Rattus norvegicus: one gene and its partners. The protein of the gene in region 1 interacts with the protein of each later gene in a pairwise test. Links are inferred from orthologs where the notes say so. Each region holds a gene or a part of one and is shown on either strand. Other genes may lie near its edges.

What was found.
Region 2: the proteins of Bag6 (region 1) and Efemp1 interact in binary tests that used the Homo sapiens proteins (3 or more experiments, as listed by UniProt). The two-hybrid records come from large-scale screens. The link is inferred for Rattus norvegicus from reciprocal best matches to the Homo sapiens genes BAG6 and EFEMP1.
Region 3: the proteins of Bag6 (region 1) and Serpini2 interact in a two-hybrid assay, tested with the Homo sapiens proteins (2 studies listed by BioGRID and IntAct). The two-hybrid records come from large-scale screens. The link is inferred for Rattus norvegicus from reciprocal best matches to the Homo sapiens genes BAG6 and SERPINI2.

What each region holds. Positions count from the first base shown.
Region 1 is NC_086038.1:3,690,525-3,694,625, forward strand, and holds the start of Bag6 (large proline-rich protein BAG6), read right to left. Parts: upstream 2,806-4,101; 5' UTR 2,557-2,805; intron 2,551-2,556; exon of another isoform or gene 2,500-2,550; coding exon of another isoform or gene 2,402-2,499; intron 2,314-2,401; exon of another isoform or gene 2,024-2,313; intron 1,905-2,023; coding exon of another isoform or gene 1,892-1,904; coding exon 1,784-1,891; intron 1-1,783. UniProt on the Homo sapiens protein: ATP-independent molecular chaperone preventing the aggregation of misfolded and hydrophobic patches-containing proteins.
Region 2 is NC_086032.1:106,888,162-106,891,476, reverse strand, and holds the end of Efemp1 (EGF-containing fibulin-like extracellular matrix protein 1 precursor), read right to left. Parts: intron 1,103-3,315; coding exon 941-1,102; 3' UTR 516-940; downstream 1-515. UniProt on the Homo sapiens protein: Binds EGFR, the EGF receptor, inducing EGFR autophosphorylation and the activation of downstream signaling pathways. May play a role in cell adhesion and migration. May function as a negative regulator of chondrocyte differentiation.
Region 3 is NC_086020.1:162,332,861-162,336,376, reverse strand, and holds part of Serpini2 (serpin I2 precursor), read left to right. Parts: intron 1-504; coding exon 505-735; intron 736-2,029; coding exon 2,030-2,224; intron 2,225-2,302; coding exon 2,303-2,495; intron 2,496-3,516.

The sequences.
Region 1 (4,101 bases):
AAGGCAGAGGTACACATCCCCCACACCAACACACAATTACAAGTAAGTGGGACACGGTGGTGTAGGCCTCTGAGAGGCAGAGGCATGTGAGTCTCTTGTCAGTTTGAGGCCAGCCTGGTTTACATAGTGAGTTCTACAATAGCCAAGGCGATGTAGAGAGACTGTCTTAAATTTATTTAAAAAAAAAAATAGCAACAACAGTAAATAAATAAAACTAAATCTTATAAACAAGAAGCCAAATAGCTCTCTCTCCCTTTCTCCTCTGTGGCTCACTATCTAGAGATAGTCGTGGTCCTTTTCTAAATTAAAACAATAGCAGGAGTTCATGGCTGTAATCTCAAGGCTAAATGCAGATAGGCACTGTAGCAGAAAGCCTCTAATCTCAAGGAAGCAGAGGCAGATGGATCTGACTGTGAGGCTAGCCATGACTACAGAATAAAACCCTGACTTAAAACACAAAATGATGGGCTAGAGACATAGCTCAGGGTTGCTCTTCTCTTGAACAGGACCAGAGCTCAATTCCTAGCACCCACATAAGTAGTTTACAGTCATCCATAACACAATAGGGACTACAATTTCCTAACTTCCACATGAGGAGAAGGCCACAGGTTGCAGGATTTGATATGTTCTTCTGACTTTCTTAGGCATCAAGTGCACACAAGGCACACATATATATTTCCAGACAAACATATTGCAATACAAATTATTATAATCTGTATTGCAAATACCAATACAAATATTTCCATTCACATATAAAATAAAAACAAATAAGATTTTTTAAAGGAATTGAAAATACACACATCCCAAAAGAACCATCACCACCAATGGTAAGTAATACAGGGGTTTGGAACCAGGTTCTGGAAAGGTAACTAATGAAGAAGGTCAGAAAAGAACACATGGTTCTATACAATTCAGTAGTAAGTACTCTATGCTAAGCCCAAGGTTCAAGGCCCAGTAGAACCACACACCCACACACCCACACACAAATAAATGTTCTAAGACATTTAACTATGTAAGACCCTACTTTACAAAAAAAAAAAAAAAAAAAAAAAAAAAAAAAGACGAAGCCAAGGCAGATGTGGTAATCTACAATCCCATAATCCTCTATCACAGTGTGTATAATCCAAGCACATAGACAGTAAAGGCGAAATGGTCAGAGGCAAAGGCAGCCCCGCTATGTGTCCCCACCTCCCAGAAAGACACATCAACCCTTGGTAACAGGCAGAATTAACTATCACACATATCTACTCACAAAATCTACGTGGCTTTTTAAATATCTGCTTTAGAAAACCACGAAAATGACCTGCGCATGATGGTGTCTCAAAGAATTATGCAGGAAAAACAAAAGATAAACGTGGCCACACTGAACTTAGCTCAAGACTCAAATTATGCCTCAACTATTGGCGATTCTACTTCACCGTGTATGGAAGCAGGTTTCTGTAACCTATAAAAAAGAACAGACACACCATACTGGTCTGAGGTCCCCCTGTGTTGTGTCTGGTCCCAAAGGCCAGAGCCATGCCTGTCCCTTTGGGCTGGAGGTCTGCACAGAATAGGTATAGAGTTCTCCTCTGTACCTCCCACTTCTGAGTTCTGTCAAGGTGAGGACAGGCTAAACAAAATCTGCCTCACTCAACGGTAACCACACCTCCCAGCTCAATAGGAACGTCAGATGTCCTACAGAGTAAGGGACAAAAGGGTCAATGACAAGAAAATCAGGCTCATCCTTCACAAAACAAACGAGCAAAAGGGGTGTCATCTCTACAAAGTACTGGTGTCTCACCTGGGCCCCCACAATAAAAGTCCGAGTCTGAGAGTCCAGGGTCTTCACCAGTACCTCCAGGCTGTCAGGCTCCTCCATAGCGGTACTGGTACTATCACTCGGCTCCATGGCCGACAGCTCTCTAAGGAAGAACGAGGAAGGGGGGGGGGGATGGTTCGCTGTCGGTCGCGCTGTATTTTATACACCCGGAAGCCTCTCTGGACCCAATCTCCGCCCCAATCCCTTGAAAGTTTCACATACACAAGCACATATATTCATCCTCCTCCTCCTCATCCCCCCTTTTTGATTCGGGGGCACAGGAATAGAAACACAAAGGGTATGAGATCGACGGCATAGGGAGATGAAGGACGAGAGGTGGGAGGGGCTCTACAATGCCAATCACAATAGGGAGAGCCAGTTGGGCTAGGAATCGGGGAAGCAAGCACGAGACCGATCAGAGACCAGTGTCATCACCGGTCGCGACCGAGCAAGCGCCCGAGAGATCGGGAAATCCTAGGACAACGCGAGGGGGGGGGGGAGGGTCGCGCTAGACTCGGCAGAGAAAGTAGCTTCGCGCACGCGCGCCACCACAATCGAACCCGCCTAAATCACCACAGACCCAAGACCACCGACACTCACGGGAGGCTGGATGGGCTCGCTGACCGCCCCCTCCTTCCGCCTCCGTCTTTCGTCGGTATTCCAGCAACACGACTTAACCAACACGCGGCCAAACACATACAAACACATACACAGCCCACCACCCTGTGGCTCCGCCCCCGACTTCCCCACGGTACCGTCACTTCCGGTCTCCCCCAACCTGGCACCAAGGGCCACTTCCGTTTCCCCGATAGTATTTGGGGATCTCGAGGCGGTACTTCCGGCTCCCCCAGTCTCCCCCGATTTACTTTCGTGGGGCACGATGAGAAAGTCCACAGCCCCGAGCAGTGAGTTTCTGGGGGGCGAGACGGGCCGGGGCCGGCCTAGATGGGAGGGAGCCGACCACCCGGAGGAGCCGCCGCCGCCGCCGTCGCCCGGGGGACCGCACTGCGCCTGCGTGAACCGCGTACGCGTGCGCACACTTTAAGTATTTCCCCGCCCCCCCCCTCCGGCTGTGTGCGTTTCTTCCCTGCTCGCGCCGTTGTGCTACCCGACCGGGGTGTCTACTGTAAACGCCTGAAGAAAAATTACTGGGTGGAATGCTGCACCTTCCTGGGGAAAAGAGTCTGGGATTTCTGCGTATTGCACCTCGTTAATCAACGTTCCTATCTTGACGGACATAGAAATTTACAGGCACAATTCTAACTACCCAAACCTCTGCAAGACCTCTGGTCCTCCCGTCATTCCTGCTCTTCCGGAAGCCACTCTTTTCCGTGGACGGCTTGGGCGTTCCGCGGGCTGTATTTGCTTGTGCTCAAGTTTAGTTCCTGGCGGGATTAGGGTAGTTGGACGTTTTGCAGACTTTGGCCGTCCTATTGGTCTTTGATTGAGAGCACTATGGGAGTGCCATATTTAAGGATAACTAAGCATACTGCTTTTTAGGAGCTTTTTTAAAGAAACGAAAGAAAAAAAAACGGGTGCCTTAGGGATCGGATTGAAAGACAAGGACAAGACTTTTGAGAAAGGAGATTGGAAGGCCAGCCACCGAGGGAGTTAGTTGAACAGGGTGGGACGGTTGTTTCTCTACATTCTTCCCCACTTATTCTTAGATGCCAATACTGATGAGAGTTCCAGTAAGCATTGTATATTGAGACTTTTATATGCTGTTTCAGTGTTAACTCTGAATTGCCCGGAACCCATAAAGACAATGTACCCCACACCACCACCCAGGGCAGGGTCGTGTGTCACTCTACTAGACTGTATTTACGTTTTGAGGTTTTTTTTTCCTCCGAGACAGGATTTCACTATGTAGATCTGGATGTCCTGTAACTCACAGAGATCCACCTGCTGGGATAAAAGAACTTAAATATTTTTTAAAATGCTTTTCTGGGGGGTGGCTGTATGGCCTTCGTCTGTCACAGCACAGCGCAGGTGTGGAGATCTGAGGGAAAATGTGCTCTTTCACTGCGGGGACCTGGGGATCAAAGTCAGGTCCTCTAGCTTGGCTTGCCATCCGCCAAGCACCATCACTGCTGGAACACTTCCCTAGACACACATTTAGTATTTTATTATAAAGATTTCAGGGGCTGGAGAGATGGCTCAGCGGTTAAGAGCACTGAGTGCTCTCCCAGAGGTCCTGAGTTCAAATCCCAGCAACCATATGGTGGCTCACAACCATCTGTAATAGGATCTGATGCCCTCTTCTGGTGTGTCTGAAGATAGCTACAGTGTACTCATACACA
Region 2 (3,315 bases), on another chromosome or scaffold:
GCAGTTATTTTAAACAAGGAAGACATGAAATTTTTTCATAGAATTGAACAGGAAGAATAATGTGAATTCTAAGAGTAAAGAGACACGTTTTTCTCCCTCTCTGAGTGCAAGTACAAGGGTTAGATTCTTGCTGAGAAACTAGAGGCTTGTTAGAAATGAGGCTTAGAAATGGGAGTGTCCCCAGGGAATCACCTCTTCTCCATTTTGCTCTGAACTGTAAGTGCATTTCTTTCTTCAGGGATTTTATTACATGTACTTAACTTGCTTCTTTGGAGAATTCTAAAATGGTTCTGAAAAAAGTTATTTTCTCTACTCTTCCTCATAGATTTCTCAACAAAATAATTTTTGAGGAGATAGTTGACTTTTTTTGGAATTGTGGGTGAAATTCTGACAAGCTTTAAAATGCTGAATGGAAACTAGCATATTGCACAATAATAATTTCCTACTAAACAAGAAACAAGTACCTGTAAACTGATCATTAAAATGTAGACCAACAAAAACATGGCAGATTCTCATTTTCTAAAGAAATATATCTTTATTGACTTTTTTCCATTTTCTTACAAAGAAGTTAAAAAAAAACCCTTCTTGCTCTTGATGTTTAGATGGCCAATCCTCATGAGATTGTTTGTGGAGGTGTATATTTCTCTATTCACCACAGAACAGTATCATTGCTTGGTCCCATTTTTGTAGGAAAGAATCCAAGTTTCACTAGATAATATATGCTTAGCTCTCTTCAAGAAGAATGTTGGACTAATGTCTAATTTACACACAGTGATAAAGATAAATGTTGACTCTTATGGATTAAATGCCCACTTCCTACCATAGTCTAGCTGTTTGAATATAGATGTACTAGATAGAGCTATAAATAAAATAAACTTTAATGTAATGATATTCTTTGGCTGATTTAAATGCCTGTGGTAGGCTTTATGTGAATAAAAGTTTAAAATGAAAACGGCCCCACTATTATTGTCAATCTTAACACAGAGCTTGTGCGGAAGGTCCCTATACTACTGACTGTCAGCATCTCCAGGTCCACGATGTGTTCTCTTGGTCCTGTTAGCGACTTCACAAGCACCAGCATTGCACTCACAGGGCTTGTTTGCTAAAAAACAAGAAAAGAAGGGTAGGCACAGTGATTTTTCTTGGGCTAGAGTTTCTATTTTGTTATTGTTGTTCTTAGCATAATAATCAGGGGAAATAATAGGATAGAGAAGCTCTGCTCAGTCCATGCTGGCTTCTAACTTTCATCTCTACCCTAGCCCACCCATCTACACTAGCTCCAGAGCAAGGGCTTGATTTTAAAATTCTTATTTTCCCATATTTCTTGTTAACATGTGTTCACATCGCAAATATTTTTCTTTGTTATTAACCTTCTTCTACTCATGGATTGAAAAATTCCAGTCTCTCTAAATAGTTCACATTAAAATCTGATAATCTTGAAACTGGTAAAGAAAGTAGTCATTTGTCATTTTCTTAACATTGAGTATTTGTTTACATTCTAGTAAGGAGTTAGGTAAATAGTCAGGCATGGTGGTTCATGACTTGAGTCCTAGAGGAGCAGAGGCAGGAGGGAGGCAGGAGGCAGGAGGCAGGAGGCAGGAGGCAGGAGGCAGGAGGCAGGAGGCAGGAGGCAGGAGGCAGGAGGCAGGAGGCAGGAGGCAGGAGGCAGGAGGCAGGAGGCAGGAGGCAGGAGGCAGAGGCAGAGGCAGAGGCAGAGGCAGAGACAGGCAGAGTTCAAGAACAGCCTGGTCTAGGTAGATGAATTCCAGAACATCCAGGGCTACACAGAGAGACTCTGTTACAAATAAACAAACAAACAAAGAGTTAGGTAAGTAGTATATTTAAATAGAACATGACAAATTTTAGATTATTTGGATATACATAGTATGAGTACAAAAGAATACATATATACATACATATTCCTGAAACACTGAGGTAAAGTGTTTGTAACTTTAGAGCAAAGGTCCTCAACCTTTGGGTTGCAACCACTTGGGGATGAACAACCCTTTCAGGGGGGTCACCTATAATCATTGGAAAACAGATATTTACATAATACTAGGAAAATGACAGTATTGAAGCAGTAATGAAAATAATTTTATGGTTGGGGGTCACCACGACTGTATTAAAGAGTTGCAGCATTAAGAAGATTGAGAATCTCTGCCTTAGAATCATCAAGGAGCAAGAGAAATTCTGAAAATTAACATGGTCAAAACTGGACATGGAGTGAGCATTGGAGGGTGGAAGGAGATGTTTTGGAAGAGTCAGTAAGTGAATAAATGAATCTGAACACAAAGGACAGAAGCATAGATTAAAATTAATTATCATTACAAGGGATACACATTAAACTCAGACAGATTACAGAGCCTGAGAGAGGATGGCATTGAAGGAATGGACAGAAGAGAGAAATCAAAAAAAAAAAAAAATAAAGCTAGGGCTAGAAAGATGCCCTGGTGGTTAAGCTCAATGCTGCTATAATGTAGTAGGTTGGTCTAATGTTGGTTGTATTCTAATATTAATTTAGAACCCCCCTGCCCCCGAAATAGCATGAGAGAGTTACAGAAAAGACACTGAGAGCCTCTGGTCCCAGTTAATTATGATTGGTAAATAAAGTTGCCAGCAGACAATAGCTGGGGAGAAAAGACATAGGCAGGGTTTAAGTTTCCCAGGCTTGGGATGGTGAGGAAGAGGAGAGAGAGAGGAAAAAGCTGCAATGGAAGGGTACAGGAGAGAGCTGCCATGGAAGAAGAACATATACGAGGGAGAAGGAGAGCCACAATGTAAAAGGGTCAAAAGAATGTGGCCCAGGCACTGGCTAATTGGAGTTAAGAGCAGCCAAGCTGGAATATAGAAATTAATTAGTAGTAACTTGGAGTTATTGTTAGTGGATTCTAACAGATAGGAGTTTAGACAGTAGCCTGGCTATTGTCCTGTTTAAGGCATATTAAAATATAAGGCTGTGTGCATATCTTTAATCCAGGAGCATAAATTGTCAAAGGCTGGAAGGAACCTCACACCAACATTTATTAGAATAATTAAATCAACACTCTAACATGAGGAATGGAGTTCAGATCCTAGAACCCACTCAGAACTGCCTGTAACTCCAACTTCAAGAGATCTGACATCCTCACCTGGCCTCTGCAGGCACCTAGACACCATGTGTCCATATACTCAATATATATATATATATACTCAATATATATATATATATGTATATGTATATAAACATAAATAATTTGAAACTAGAAAATGAACAAAGCAGAGAAGAAATAGATGCTTAAGTGAAAAACATGTAAGTGGAGAGCAGTGTCCAGCAAA
Region 3 (3,516 bases), on another chromosome or scaffold:
CAAGCAGGCACTTCAGATTTTTATATAAATCTAGAGATGATTATAGGGCTTATCTCGTAAACCTAGAAACCTGAACAGAAGCAGTTCTTTAGTGAAGAGCAATGGTTTCTTGAAGTTGAAGGTAACATTGAAAACTGTTCATCGGTGTCATACCTCCACCAATACTCTTTACTACTTTCCTTGTAAAGAAAAGAATCTTAAATGGAAATTTCATGCAATGAAATGATCGAAATGTCATTAGAAAGTGGGACTTTCCTTCAGTCTGCATAAATTCATAGTTTTGTTTCTGAAAAAAATTAAATTTTGTCCAGTATAAACATTGATTTTCTGCAAAATCCATATTCTATGGGAGGTAAATGTGCAAAATCCTTATAGTGACTTTCCATGGTTAGCTATGTCTCAGCATGAGAAATTGGCGATATAAATCAGAACACGTGTCAAAGCCAAGAAGCTATTGTTTTTGTGTTGCTCGATATGTGAGTATGTGCTATAATTATTTTGTAGGAGAGGAATTCTCTGTGCTGAAGTCACTTTTTTCAGCCATCTCGAAGAAGAAACAGGAATTTACATTTAATCTTGCCAGTGCCCTCTACCTTCAAGAAGGATTCATTGTGAAGGAATCGTATCTCCATAGCAACAAGGAGTTTTTTCAGAGTGCTACAAAACTGGTGGATTTTCTAGATGCAAAGACTTCTGCACAGGCAATAAGCACCTGGGTAGAAAGCAAAACAGATGGTAAAGTTTTCCATTTTCATAAAACTGTTATTTCCTGTTGGATTCATTGCTTTTAATATCTTAAAGTAAAGAGTGGCTGAATGTTTCCCATTGCACTGCGGATCAAAGAAATGGAATCTTCTGTTTCACCTCACTGTCATTTAAATTAACACTAGACTATACAACCCAGGGAAACTCTGAATTGCTTTGAAAAGTATATTGATTGCTGCACTAATTCCCAGACACCTTTCTTTTCTTAACGATATAATTTCAGCAATAATATTTGTTCAAGCATTGATTTTTTTTCAGGTATGGAAAGAGAAAACTTATCTTTGTCCAGCAATATATTAGATATGTCAACTGAAAATGTTGTATTCCCAAGTATATTGTTAATATTTTATCTGATCATGTTAATGTTTAAAAATAATACTAGCAATCTTATCATAAATATAGTAATCTAACCTTTAAACCTAATGTGGCAAAAATTACAAAGTTGTTAAATAAAGGCTAAGGTCAGTTTAAAGTTGAGATCCAAGTTTAAAACATTATAACCTTAGATTTGCTTTAAAATTAGGACAGTATTAAAATATTTTAGTTGTTAGAAACTTTAATAACAATGCATGTAACTTATAAGCATTACTGGACTTTAAAATATTTTTATTATGACTGTGCTGAAGAAATTGTAATTTTATGAGTTGCTACTTAACTATTCATGGGCAGGCTCACAAACAGGTATCCATTGAGACTGTGATGTGGTGGTAAGCAGGAGAATTTATAGAGATGTGAAAATGGAAATAACAGCATTATGGACAAAGAATTGCTTACTGCACAGGAAAATAAGAGGAAAATTAATTTTTTTTTTTGAGGATCAAAATCAGACCATGCAATGGTCACTGGTTACAGCTACAAAAGTAGGAAGTTTGGCTGTTTCACTGACCTACTGAATTTGGTCGTTCTCATGGGCAACCTATCCCTTAATACCGACACATATGCAGAAAGACACATCATAGTTCTCTTCTTGTCTGAACAACAGTTTATGGATATGATCTCACCAGAGAGTTTATTATTAGCTCTGTTCACTTTTTCCTAGAACACTCTCATTTTTGATTTCCTGGTGTTTCTGTTTACGCCTATTTCTTAGTGAAGTACTCAGCAGTATTGCCCTTTGCACTTACAGTTGCCAAAACTAGATGACATAATACACTGGTGAAAGCAGTTCTGTGCAAGTCGTTTTTACTTTAGTCAATTTTAGCAAGTTCCATTGAATCTCTACTTACGTTTTTCCCCCTACTTTGTTCTCCATCCTCTTTAATAGGAAAAATTAAAAATATGTTCTCAGAAGAAGACTTTGGCCCCTTGACTCGTCTGGTCTTGGTAAACGCCATTTATTTTAAGGGGGATTGGAAACAGAAATTCAGAAAAGAAGACACAGAAATGACAGATTTTAGTAAGAAAGATGGCTCAACAGTCAAGATTCCAATGATGAAGGCTCTGTTGAGAGCAAAATATGGTAATATGAGAAACTATATATTTTAAATAATGGGTCTGAAAAATGACAAATAAATTTAATGAATTTCCTTTGTTGTAGGTTATTTTTCCGAGTCATCCATGACATATCAAGTTTTGGAATTGCCTTACAAGGCTGATGAGTTTAGTTTAGTCATCCTTCTTCCCACAGAAGATGTGAACATAGAAGAAGTGGAAAAACAAGTTACTGCTCGTCATGTCCAGAAATGGTTCTCTGAGCTGCATGAAGAGGAAGTGGAAGTCAGCCTCCCTCGGTGGGTGGGTCATGTTCTGTGTTATTGACTTTTCGATTACAACCAGAATCCTCGATCAGTTTTAGATAATTACCACTCCATTGAAGTTATGAGGAATTATAAGCAGAGGATGCAATGGTTATACAGACTAATATGCTTCTGAGAGATAAAAGAAATTTCATTAAATGGGGTACCAAAATAGCACAGCTTATATTCTATCCTGTGTTGGGATTTCTTCATATATTTTCATATACCAGTTTATTAATTGAAAATCTCAGTCATACACTATATTTTGGACATAGTCTCTGATCACTATTTCTCCTCGCTCCTCCCAGATCTAATCTCCACTCTCTAATATCCTTGAATACATTCTCTTCTTATAATTTCCCTTTGCTTTTCCCAGGTCTGATCTCTACTATGAACTAAATTATGAATTCAAAATTCTGAAGTACAGTAGCACAAATTAACCTTTCTTTTTTCAAAAAATATGTTTTATCCATGATCAGGAAAGAACATTATGTAGACTAAGTAAATAGTTTTCTGTTGACTGATGACTTTGTTTCAGCCATCTTTGCCCATTCTCTGAAGAGTCTCTATGTGCAGTCCATGTTCATTGTGAAGTGACTTTGTAGCCCAGGCTAGAATCAAATTTGTGATCCCCTTGCCTCTGTTCTGCAGGCACTTCAGGTTTATAGCACCATGTTAAAAAGCATTATTCAATGCTGTGTTTCTTTTTTGTTTGTTTTGTTTTGTGGTTTTTTTTTTGGTTCTTTTTATAAGAGCTGGGGACCGAACCCAGGGCCTTGCGCTTCCTAGGTAAGCGCTCTACCACTGAGCTAAATCCCCAGCCCCGCTGTGTTTCTTTTATATCCAAATAATAATCCACAGTAATTTGTAAACTGATATGTGAAGATCTGTTTAATTGGAACAATTTAGTCAATTTCATCAGATTTCCAGAACTACCATGGAATAGAAGCAAAGAACAAACTAGTTAATATAAACAGTAGAAAGTCACTCTCTTGTAATTTTTGGATTAAAACTA